Linked DNA regions of Alligator mississippiensis. The protein of the gene in region 3 interacts with the protein of the main gene of each other region in a pairwise test. Links are inferred from orthologs where the notes say so. Each region holds a gene or a part of one and is shown on either strand. Other genes may lie near its edges. The genes, in order: CDKN2C, SLC23A1 and AHCYL1.

What was found.
Region 1: the proteins of AHCYL1 (region 3) and CDKN2C interact in binary tests that used the Homo sapiens proteins (3 or more experiments, as listed by UniProt). The two-hybrid records come from large-scale screens. The link is inferred for Alligator mississippiensis from reciprocal best matches to the Homo sapiens genes AHCYL1 and CDKN2C.
Region 2: the proteins of AHCYL1 (region 3) and SLC23A1 interact in binary tests that used the Homo sapiens proteins (3 or more experiments, as listed by UniProt). The two-hybrid records come from large-scale screens. The link is inferred for Alligator mississippiensis from reciprocal best matches to the Homo sapiens genes AHCYL1 and SLC23A1.

What each region holds. Positions count from the first base shown.
Region 1 is NC_081828.1:8,171,937-8,175,684, forward strand, and holds the start of CDKN2C (cyclin-dependent kinase 4 inhibitor C), read left to right. Parts: upstream 1-1,059; 5' UTR 1,060-1,285; coding exon 1,286-1,417; intron 1,418-3,748. UniProt on the Homo sapiens protein: Interacts strongly with CDK6, weakly with CDK4. Inhibits cell growth and proliferation with a correlated dependence on endogenous retinoblastoma protein RB.
Region 2 is NC_081832.1:45,180,601-45,184,348, reverse strand, and holds the start of SLC23A1 (solute carrier family 23 member 1), read right to left. Parts: upstream 2,567-3,748; 5' UTR 2,495-2,566; coding exon 2,459-2,494; intron 1,941-2,458; exon of another isoform or gene 1,830-1,940; intron 133-1,829; coding exon 43-132; intron 1-42.
Region 3 is NC_081837.1:34,576,008-34,579,755, reverse strand, and holds the start of AHCYL1 (S-adenosylhomocysteine hydrolase-like protein 1), read right to left. Parts: upstream 2,289-3,748; 5' UTR 2,148-2,288; coding exon 2,040-2,147; intron 1-2,039. UniProt on the Homo sapiens protein: Multifaceted cellular regulator which coordinates several essential cellular functions including regulation of epithelial HCO3(-) and fluid secretion, mRNA processing and DNA replication.

The DNA.
Region 1 (3,748 bases), on a different chromosome or scaffold from region 3:
TCTGTACCTTTTATACCGCACTATGTGCATGCATTTTGTGCCACATTTGTGCATGTTGTGCACGCATTTTGTGCCACGTGTTATGCACACATCTGTACCTTTTATACCGCACTATGTGCACGCATCTTGTGCAACATATGTACATGTTGTGCACGCATTTGTACATTTTATACCACACTATGTGCATGCATTTGGTACCATTTTGGTACATGTGCATGCATTTTGTGCCACGTTTGTACATTTTATACCACACTGCACGCATTTTGTGTCACGTGTTGTAGCGCATGTTGTGCACACGTTTGTACCTTTTATACCGCACTATGTGCACGCATTTTGTGCCACGTGTTGTGCACGCATCTGTACCTTCTATACCACACTATGTGCGCACATTTTGTGCCACATTTGTGCATGTTGTGCACGCATTTTGTGCCACGTGTTGTGCACGCATCTGTACCTTTTAAACCGCACTATGTGCATGCATTTCGTGCCACATTTGTGCATGTTGTGCACGCATTTTGTGCCATGTGTTCTGCACACGTCTGTACCTTTTATGTGCACACATTTGTACCAGGCTTGTGCGTTTCGCGCGCGCACGCCGCGGTGCTGCGGAGCGGCGGCGGCGGCGGCGGCACGGCCGGGGTGGGAGCCGGCGCTGCAGGTGCTCGTGCTGCCTGGCGGCCGATGCTCGGGCCGTGACTCGCCCTCGTTTGCACCCTGCGCGTGTCAGCCATGCCGGAGGCTCCCCCCCGGCTCGCTTTTGCGCCGCACCCCAGACGGGAGGGGGCGGAGGGCGCTCGCCGTCCCTCCGCGGCATCCCCGGCGCCGACCCCCGCCAGCCCGCGCTCCCCGCCGGCCGGGCCCCCCCGCGCCCGCCGCCTTTGACCTTGGGCGGCCGGGGCCGCGGCCTGCGGCGGGAAGCAGTGCGCAGGCGCGGCCGCATCTCCGCGGAGCCTCCTTAAATCCGTGCCGTTAAAATGTGGGCGGGAGCTCGGCTCAAAAAGCGCCCAAAGTTTTTTCTTTTCAAAAAAAGCCGAGGAGGTGGCAGGAGCCGCGGCGGGCGCAGCCATGCGGCCGGGCGCGCAGGGGCGCGGAGCGGGGCGCGCAGCTGGGCGCGCTCGCCCGGGGCGCCGCGGCTTGGCGGGGCCGTCACGTGTGATCGCGGGGCGGGCGCTTGGCACGGGGCGCTTTTACGAGTATTTACTACGAGGTCCGCTGCGGGCGCCCAGCCCTGCCCGGGCTGCTGCGGGGCGCCCATGCCCTGCCCGGCCGGGACGGGTCCCGAGGCATGGCCGAGCCCGGCGGCGACGAGCTGGCGTCCGCGGCTGCCCGCGGGGACCTGGCGCAACTCGCCCGCTGCTTGCAGGAGCGCGATGGAAACGTGGATGCGCGCAACCGGTTCGGGAGGACGGCGCTGCAGGTTGGTCTCCGGGCTGGGGGGGGGGGGCCCCATTCACGGCCTTTTTTTGGAGGGGGGTTGCTGTGTTTTATCTCTGGAGCGGCTGCAGCTGCCTGGCATGGCGTACTTGGAGGAAAAGGGGGCCACGGCGTTGCTCGCAACGGGGCTCCGGGTGTAAGAGCCGCGGGGGAGGAGGGCAGGGCAGGTCTGTCAACACGGCGGGGTTGTTCTCCGGAGGTCGCTTTGCTCTTCCTTCACCCTGTGCCTTTCGACACGCGCCCATGGGGTGGGATGGGGCTTTTCCTTCCTCTGCTGCCGCCGAGCCAGCCTTGACCTCTGTGCCGTGGCAAACACGCCGCCCCGCGCGGGCGCTGCCGGGCGGGGGTCCCCGTCCAAACCCCGCTTTCCAAGCGGGCGGAGGGGCCCGAGAGGGCAAGACCGTGGGTCTGCATCTGCAGGGATGAGGTTTGCAGACGGTCGTTGGAGCTGATCCAAGTCCTGAGCACTGGGGCTGATGACAGATTTTTTTTTTTTCTATTCTTTTAAGACTATCATACAATGAAGACGAAAATGAGGGAAGAGAGGCAGACACAACCCCCCCCACCACCCCAAATAGACAAGCCATTGATAACCGAAGGGGAAATCTCCTCGAGTGGCTGTTTGCACGCCAGACAGGGCAGGGGAACGTGAAATAAGAGCCGTGGGCGGGGGGGGAGGGGGGTTATTCTCGAAGTTTACACTTTAAAACATAGTTTCTATTTTAAAAAGTGACAAAACGGTGTGCACTTTTGAAATGTTTTCAAACAACAGAGGGATTGCAACTCGAATGACAGCTATTTACTCAGCTTTGGCTTATCATCAAAATGTAGGGTCTCGAGAATGAGAATCTCTTGTAGGAACACAACCTTGATTTCCTTTTTACATTTTTTTCCTTAAATTCAAGGACTGTCAAATTGTCCCTGCGCTATTCGCCCAGATACAGGCGATTTACTGCAGACACTGGTGACACCTTGGCAGGGAAAGGAAAAATGTGACTCAAAAAGACACCCATCCTAGCTGCTGTAGGAAAGCAGGAAACCTGTATCTAGATTTTTATCCACAAAAGGAGGCTGAAAATCTGAGTTGCAGTGCAAAAGAGATATTTTTTCCCTACAAATATCAGCACTCACTGCATGTGGACTGGGGAATATTTTACAGTTCCTGTGACTCCTGGCACTATCACCCACTTTTTATTGCAACTGAATCGTAACCGATGTAGTGAACCACAACAACAATCAGAACAGGGGAGTCTGACTACTTGTTTTCAGTTTGTATAATCCTGAAACATTTTGTGGGTGAGTGACCCAGCTCAAGAAAGATTTCTGTCGATGCAGCCTCGATATTACTTGCTCTGGAGTCCACCAAATGAAAGTGAGCACAGCGCACGTTGTCTCCTGCTGCTCGTTTCAACACAGCGATTCAGCATTGTCTTCCTCGAGTCTGTGCTTTTCTGTTTGACGAGGCAAACCCATGGAGGCCTCGGCTACAGACTTTGCTAATGCATCTTCCTCACAAATGCTTTCTCCTGCCCCGATTCCCGCCCCCCAGAGAAACTTTACAGCCTCAGCTCGGGTTAGAGCCCAAATCCAAGTACATTAGATTTATTCTTTTTTTTCCCCCCAGCTTTCTTGTCTTGGTTCCCTTGCACGTGTATAGCCCCCTCCCAAGCCTCGTAGGGTTCTTGGGTGCTCACAAAACACGAACAAATACGTCTGGGTTGTACTAAAAATACTGTGCACTTATTTTCCTGAGAGATAAATGTACTTTCTATAATCTCCATCCAGAATTAAAAGAAATGGCAGGTAACCTGCACAAAACTATCTCAGATAAATACTTTTCTGCAAGCCCCAAACCAGCCGAGTCTATTTGTCCCCACCTAAAACAGACCATGATAAGCTGCTATATAGTTTCGAAATGCTGCAGCAATGATGTGTGTTGTGAATGCCTTTTTTTATCAACTCGAAATGCATATTATTATTTTTTACAGTAGCTTCAGGTTTTCAATCCATGCCTTCTATAAACTGTAATTTATGCTTAATGTAGTGCAACTGTCATCCTTGTTTATGCTAAGAAGAGAAAGAATCGTAATAAGATTTTCAAGATTGAGAATTAACATGTTAAATAAAGGAAACTTGTTCAGAGCAGTTTTTCATAATAAAACCGTTTAGTTGTGACAGCAAAGTCTCGAAAAAAAGCACTGTCCTCAGTACGGGGACAACTGTGAATTAATTAGTTTCATTTTATGAAAGACCGGGGGAAAAGAAGTTCTTGGGAATTCCTGAAGCATTTGTGTGAGTTAGCTAAACCCCCAGT
Region 2 (3,748 bases), on a different chromosome or scaffold from region 3:
AAGGTAGTGGCCCAGGTACCCTTAGCTGAGCCCTTGCCTCACCTTGTTCTCAGGGACCGGCTCCTTCCCACATGGATATTCAGCAATGATCTCAGGTGTCCTGTCATTCAGAGCAGAAGGAGGGTTGCCATTCTGGTGTCAAGGGAGATATAAAACAAAGGAAGTCACTATTTATTTAAGCTGTTCCATGGGGAAACTGTAGGCCAGAAGGCAGGCCAAGAGCAGGTAGTTAAAACCTTCAAGTCTGGAGATCTTCAGAAAGCACTAGAATGCATCAAAACATTTGGAGTTCATTCAAGAACATCTGAGATAGATAAGGAAAGCATGCAGGATGGTACAGCCAAACCTGGTACAATAGATATGAATGCTATGAAGGAATGCTCTAATTAAATAAGTTCATTAATCAGCAAACTGTAAGGTGTTGGCACCAACTATGATTGATGATGCGTGGGCAGTGCTGCAGGCTGATGTTAAGTGCTTCTAACATATAAAAACAATAGAATACAAAAGCACCCTGGATTTGTGTTTAACCCTGCACTATCACCAGTTTGATCACCTGGCTGGTAGTATGAATGAAGGCTGGTAGTATGAATGAAGTTTATACTCACTGAAAGCTGCTGTGTGCTTATATGACCTGTGTTGGTTTCGTTAGTACATAGCAGGGCCTTGGAGGCAACAACAAAAACGGTAGAGAAAGCAACAGCACCAAAAGATCAAATGCGAAACAGACAGTGCTGCTGAGTGCTTTGGAAAGGGCGTGTGATGCTGCTTCCTATTGTGTTGGCTGCTCTAGTCGAGCAAGCTCAGGGAATCCATAGAAAAGGACCCCGGCATGAGGGAGCCCCCAGAACTGGTTTGAGTTCCTTTTGTCAAGAGCAAGCATCACATCCCAGCCTAGGTAGCCATGACTTACATTTAAAGGGAATGGCAAAACAAGATAGACTCAAATGAACATCTCAGAGGGAGAGCAAAGTGAGCGTCTCTTCTCTGCAACATGCTACATCACCCCACAGCATATCAGATGGCCAAGCTTTATGCCTACATACAGACACTGTATCATTTTACCTACCTTAGTACAACCCCTCTGCTTCAATATGCACACAGTTAAACTGGTATGAATATCTGTGTTCCACTATAACAATCTCTACGTGGGAAAGGACATGAGCAATACTAGAATAAGGCACTTTCAAAGCAGAATAGCTGTGTCCACACTAGGGTTTGTACTAATCTAATGATACTGGTAAAATCACAACTCAGTGAAAAAAGATAAATTGGTACAAAAATCTGGGTGTAGATCAGACTTTGGAAATAAAAAGGTACAAAACAAGGAAGCCACAAACAGGACAACTGAATTGCTGCAGACATCTCACTAACATATATAAACAGAGTTAAAATAATAATCATCCTCTTCCTCACTCCCATGTAGCACATTCAGAGACCCTTACAACAGAGTAGCTACTCAGAACACCCTGAGCAGTGCAGCCATGCAGTAAAAGAAGCAGTATTTGACTTAAAAAGCTTTGTTTCTGTGGCATCCTCCCCAGCATGGAAAGTGGACCATAAATAAATGTTAATGTGTATTATAAAGGAGTCGCTCAAAATCCCTCACAACAGGGGCCCACTCTTACAAAAGGCTGAGGGGAAAGATCTGTGCCTTTAAAACCCAGTATTTTCAGTGAAAGCTGCAGATGCTCAGCTCCAAACAGGATCAGGCCCTGGACTCTGCCAGTCACTGCAAGCTAAAATCATGTTCCTTGCAAATTTACTTCAGAATAAAACCCAGAAGCCCTCACTTCCTTGGATCCTTTTCTTCCTTCTGTCATTCTTACCCTGGCAGGGGGAGGTGAGGGAATGGGCCTGATGCTTATAGCTCTTCTCTCCTGTGCCCTTACTGAAGCGCCTCCCAAGAGTTTCCAAGTCTTTTGCTGAGTTGCAGCAGCTGATCAAGTACAAAGTGAGGCTGGGTGGTTTCCCTGTGCTGTGTTAAAGACAAGGCTGGCGTAAGGGGAGGTGGGAAAGAGCAGGAAAGAAGGGAACTAGCAACAGCAACAGCATATGCGTGGACCTCATGTGTTTCAGGTGATGGCCAGCAGTCCACTCCTGAGTGGCAGGTTGGATACCTCCCCCACTGGGAGCAGAGTGGCTTCCACTCTTTCTCCAAGCCAAACCAAGCCATGGGCAAAGCCCAGCATTAAGGGTCAGTCTGACAGGTCACGTTGTGTGGAATCTGTCTTCCTGCAATGATCACATTTAAAGTTGCCTTTACCTTCTGCCTCTGGTCAGCAGCATACACTCTCAGATTCTCCTATTCCATTGCTTATACCAGCCCCTTCTCATAACCAACGCAGATACCTGCCATCTCCTTCAGATGCAGTTATATCAAATACTCCTAAGCAAGGAAACTGATACAGATGGTGGGAGAAAGCGAGAATATGGTAAATGCAGACAATGTGTTCACCTTGGTCTGAGGTAAATCCTCCGAACTCTTCCCCATTCTCCTGCTGAGTGGTGCAGAGATTGCTGCGGAAAGAAGAGCTGGAGTAGTTTTTATGGTAGTGTGGAGGACTTTAGTCAACATATCAGACATTGTTCATGGAGTCAATCTATAACTAGAGCTATTGACTGCTGATTGTGAAATATAGGAGAGGTGTGTTTTTGAAGATCATCTATTAACTCCATTAATCACAGGAAATGAACAACCCTTCCTCACATTTATCAGTTTTTCACAGCAGTGTTGTAAAACATTATAGAGAGATGAGTTACAGTGTAATTGACTGGCTGAAAGACAGTTCATAAACAGACTGGAATAGAAACTGCCCTAAGCAGTTCATCCAAAGTGTGTGAGGCTGATAAGGAGCAGCAGTGGAGCCAAAGCAGCTTTCTGCAAGGGGTTGGGACCTCTGTGGGAGTGAGCATTTTGAAGTGCACACTCCTGAGAGGTGGCCTCAATTGCAATGTAAATCTGCAGAGAGGCAGACTAGAAAGTGGGCAGAGCTGCAAAGCATGGTGGGGGCAAGCCCTAGAGTTTGGTTTGGCCCCTTATTCAAGTAGAGGTCCAGCTGTGAAACTCCAAAATGCAGTGATCAAGAATGTTTGAGCCAGCTGTGTTCCTCTAAACCAAGGGTGGGCAAAATATGGCTCGTGGGCCTGATCTGGTCCACCAAGGGATTTATCCAGCCCACAGTGAGTCCTTTGATCCTACCTGGCCCAGGCATGGGGGGGCAGTCCTGGCCATGGTGCATGCTGCAAATCCCACCACCCCGAGGCATGCAGCAGGGCAGGGGTGGTGAGGTGCCTGGACTCTACTTCCCAGCAGCCCCTGCAGCGGCCAGCTCCTTCTGACTGCCATTGCCAGCATCGCCACTGTTGCCAGCCCCGCCCTGCTGCCTGGGCACCCTGGCCCACCCACTCTGCACCCACTGCCGGGGCACCAGATGGAGTGGGTGGGCAGGGTCTCCATGGAGACTGGCCCAGGACCTATGTGGGCAGGATGCACTCAGCCAGGCGGATGGGATGGGGCTGTGGGTGGGCGAGGAGTGGTATCTTGGAGCAGGACAGGTAGGTGGGAGCCAGGGGGGCTGTGGCTGAGGCCAGGATTGTGGGGTGGTGACCGCGCAGAGCTGGGGCCCAGGGCAGAGCCACGATCCACTGCCTGCATGTCCCTGCGATGGGCAACAGTTCTGTTTGCAGGAGAGTGCTGGGGGTGGATCGGGCTCTGCCCCAGGCCCAGCCCCATGCTGTCATTGCC
Region 3 (3,748 bases):
CTGCTGTTTCCCTTTTTAACCTTTTTCCAAGTTAAAGACAAGAAGAAAAAAAATATATCAGGAGATCCTCAAGGCTGGTTTGCAGAACTAATATAGATCCTACCAGCTGGATCGCTCAGGCTGCCACAGTTGGTTGTTTCGAGGAGCATGCTTGCTTCTTCCATGACCAGCTCTTCTCTCAGTCTAGCTCCTGTCCGAGAACCTCCTCATTAATGGTCCCCACCTTTGGGCGCTTTGCCTGGGAAACTGAACACACTAGCAACCTGTCTGCATGAACATGGAGGGATGTTCACTCCTATCAGCACTTTCACTGCACACTGGTGCTCACAGCAAGCATAAGCATAAGCCTCCCCTTTGAAAAGCTATTCAGTAAGAGTTAGTACAAAAGAGAAAGCACCCATACCAATGCCCCGGGGATATTCCCAGCTTCCCCCATCTGATCTTCAATGCACCCTGCCCCTTAAAGAATCATTTGCCCAGAGGATGTCAATCAGGGCAAGGATTTGATAACTTCCCTGCCAAGTTTGGTTTATTTCAGCATTTTTAATACCATACCTGCTAGGGACCTCACTCCTCTGATGAAACCATAGCAGGAAGCTCTCAGCTATTTTCCTGGAATTTCTAGATAAAGGCGATGAGCTTCGAAGCTCACAAAGGAGACGCACAAGACACTCTGCCTTGCATTAAAAATAAAGAAGGGTCGCAAAAAGTAATAAGGCCTTTTTCCGATTATGATTTTGATACAAAGCAATCTGAAGATGCCTCGAGCTCCGAGACAAGCCGCAGACCCTCAGCACTGGATGCTTCAGAGCAGCGTTTCTCAACCGGTGAGTCGCGACCCAAAAGTGAGTCACAAGAATATACGAAAGGGTCGCGAACAAACTTTAAAAATGGATCAACACACTTTGAAAAGAAAGGAGAAAAACATGGGCAACTGTGGCTTTTCCCTTGCAGGCTGGCAGAGGTCCAGCCTGCGAGGGGCTGCTTGGGACCCCCTTGCCTCACACCCACCCACTGCCCCACACACTGAGGGGCTGGGGGCAGTGGTTTGGGACTGGCCATCGAGGTTTACAAACGGGTCCTGGTACAGAAAAGGTTGAGAACCGCTGCTTTCGAGGTTGCCAGTGCCTCTGCTCTTCACAATCGCCAGATGGGCCTGGAGCATTCATCCTTCAGGGCTGGCGCTCGTTACGTTATCAGCCTCAAAGCTCATCTCATTGCATGCCCTCCAATGCTCGGGGCAGTATTACAGCGAGATCAAGTCAGCAGCACGACCCAAGCACAGATTCATAGATGCGAGGGTCAGAAGAGCCCTCGACAGATCATCGAGTCCAACCCCCTGCCTGGGCTGCAAAACAGCCTCTACCTACACCCGCAACGTCAAGCGAATACCTCTACGGGCTCACCGACCCCTCGGCCTGACGGAGGAGCATCCCCAGCACGGGTCTAAAGAGCCTTCTCCACGCTACCACCACCTGCCGGGGGATGCTAAGCGCCAGGTATCCCTCGGGCAGTGCCGACATCGGTTTCCCATTGGTTTCACAGCTCTCCGGTGAAACTGGAACAGCTGGAAGGAGTCTGGCTCCCGCGCTCCAGCTGTGGCTGCACCTCTGGAACGGCAGGCAGGGCTCCTTCGCCCAGGCCCGAGCCAACGCCGCCCGCGCTGGGGGAGCCCCCGGCTCCTCAATCCCCAGCAACCGGAGGCAGGTTAAGCAAGCGCCCCGGGCGCCGGGAGACGCCCGAAAGGCGAGCGGGCGAAGCACGAGGCTGGCACAGCCCCGGTCCCCCCAAGTCAACCCCAACCCCGCGGGCGCTGGCTTAACCAGCTGCCCCCCTGTTGCAAACAGACCGAGCCGTTATCCCGGGATAACCCACGCCGTCCCGGGGCAAGGTGGGCAGACACCCACACCTCTATCCTGGAGTAAACCCTTGCTGCCCCCTTGGTGGGGGAGGAGAGGGCAGCAGGGGTTAATCCCGGGATAGCCCCACACAGGGGAGGGGAGGGGAGGGGAGGGCAGACCACCCCCCCACAGGGGTACCTTTTTGGGCGCCTTGGTGACCGTGGCCATGAAGTTGAACTTCTCGGCGTCCTCGATCTCCTTGGCCTGCTTCATTTCGTCCCCGCCTGCCGCGTCCGGCATCGACATCCTGGTGCTGCAAGCCGGGCCGAGCCGAGCCGAGCGGAGCCGGGCGCGGGGACTCGAACCCGCGGAGTCGCGGGGCTGGGTGGGGGGGGGCAGCGCAGAACTCGTGCCCACCCGGCCGGACCTCTGCAGGCGGACTGCGGCCGCCGCACGCCGCGGGAGGGGGCGGGGCTAGGCGGGCATACGTCAGCACGCACGGGCCGGCTTAGCGTTGGCACGCATGGGCCGGGCAAGGGACGCGAGGGGGAAGTGCTGGCAAGGGGAGGTGGTGCGGAGCCCGGCTGGCTGGGTGCGACCCCTGGAGGGGAGGAGTGGGGCGTGCAGCAAACTGTGTGCAGAAGGGGCAGCGCTGGTGGGCACTGGACATTCAGGGGCATGCTGGGGCTGGGAGCCCACACTGCTGAGTGTGTCAGACTGGGCAACTATGTGCCAGGAGCGTGGTGTACCTTCGTGGCGTGGGATGGTCCCCGTGCCCCCAGAGATGCCAGTCTAGATGTGCAGGTTGCAGATAAACCCAGCAAAGGCCCGTGCCCAGCATCCTCCCGCCCCGCTTCAGGGTGGCATCTGCAGGAAAGCGGTGGGAGAGGACGGAGAGGATGCATCCAACTCCATCTGGAAAAGGGACACATGGCACCGGCTGTTCAAAGTCCCCCCTGGGAAAGTTAGTGGACAGGAAGAACGAAGGGGACAGCGATGCAATTGGACCTAAAGAAGGCGAGGAGGACAACAACAGGATCAGCAGCAGTAGAAGCGACATTAACAGTGACAAGGATGGGAAATGAACTGAGAAAGGGAACCCCAAATCGGGGCCGGGACTAAGGGACTGTGCTTGGGTTAGGGCAGGGCAGAGGGTGGGTGCACAGGGAAGCGGGTGTAGTTTTTGTAACAGGTGCATGGGTTTCTTAAGGTAGTTTTAAAAAGAAAAGGTGCAGTGGAAGTCTATGATAGAGGATGTGTATACATACCTAAATGTGTGTGTGTGTGTGTGTGTGTGTGTGTATATATATATATATATATATATTAATTTTTTAAAAGATGGGTGGCATCTGCAGGCTCCTTGGACTTGTTCGGGGCACTGGGTGCTGGGCCGTGCCTCTGCTCTGCGTCCCCATTGGGATCCACCTTTGGTCTTCGCTCCCAGCCCAGCAATTCCACGTGTTGTCCCCAGTGATCAGGCCTTGTGGCCTCCCTTTGACTGAGAGGGCGTATAGTTTACAAAGGGCTTGCACTCGCCATCCCTATGTGATTAACAGGCCTGCCCCCATGGCATCCAGCTTGGGATAAGGCGTGGTGGGTGGGTGCGATGCCAGTGCTGGCAAGGGCGCACTTCCCAAGCAGCCCCCAGGTGGCACTGTCACTCCTCGCTGTCCAGCTGTCATGCAGTGCCAGCCAGGCACCAGGGGGAGCGCGGCCCCCAGGGTTAGACCTGGGTGCTCAGGTCGGCTGCAGCTCAGACACCCCTGTGCTGCAGCCTGGGGACAAGGGCAGCCCCAGCCCTGGCCATCCTTGTGCTGGGATGTGGGCTTCTCCCCCCAGGGTCTTGCATCCATGTGATCTTGCTTCTGAGCTGAGCGCTCAGCCCGGTGTCAGTGGCTCTCCTCCTC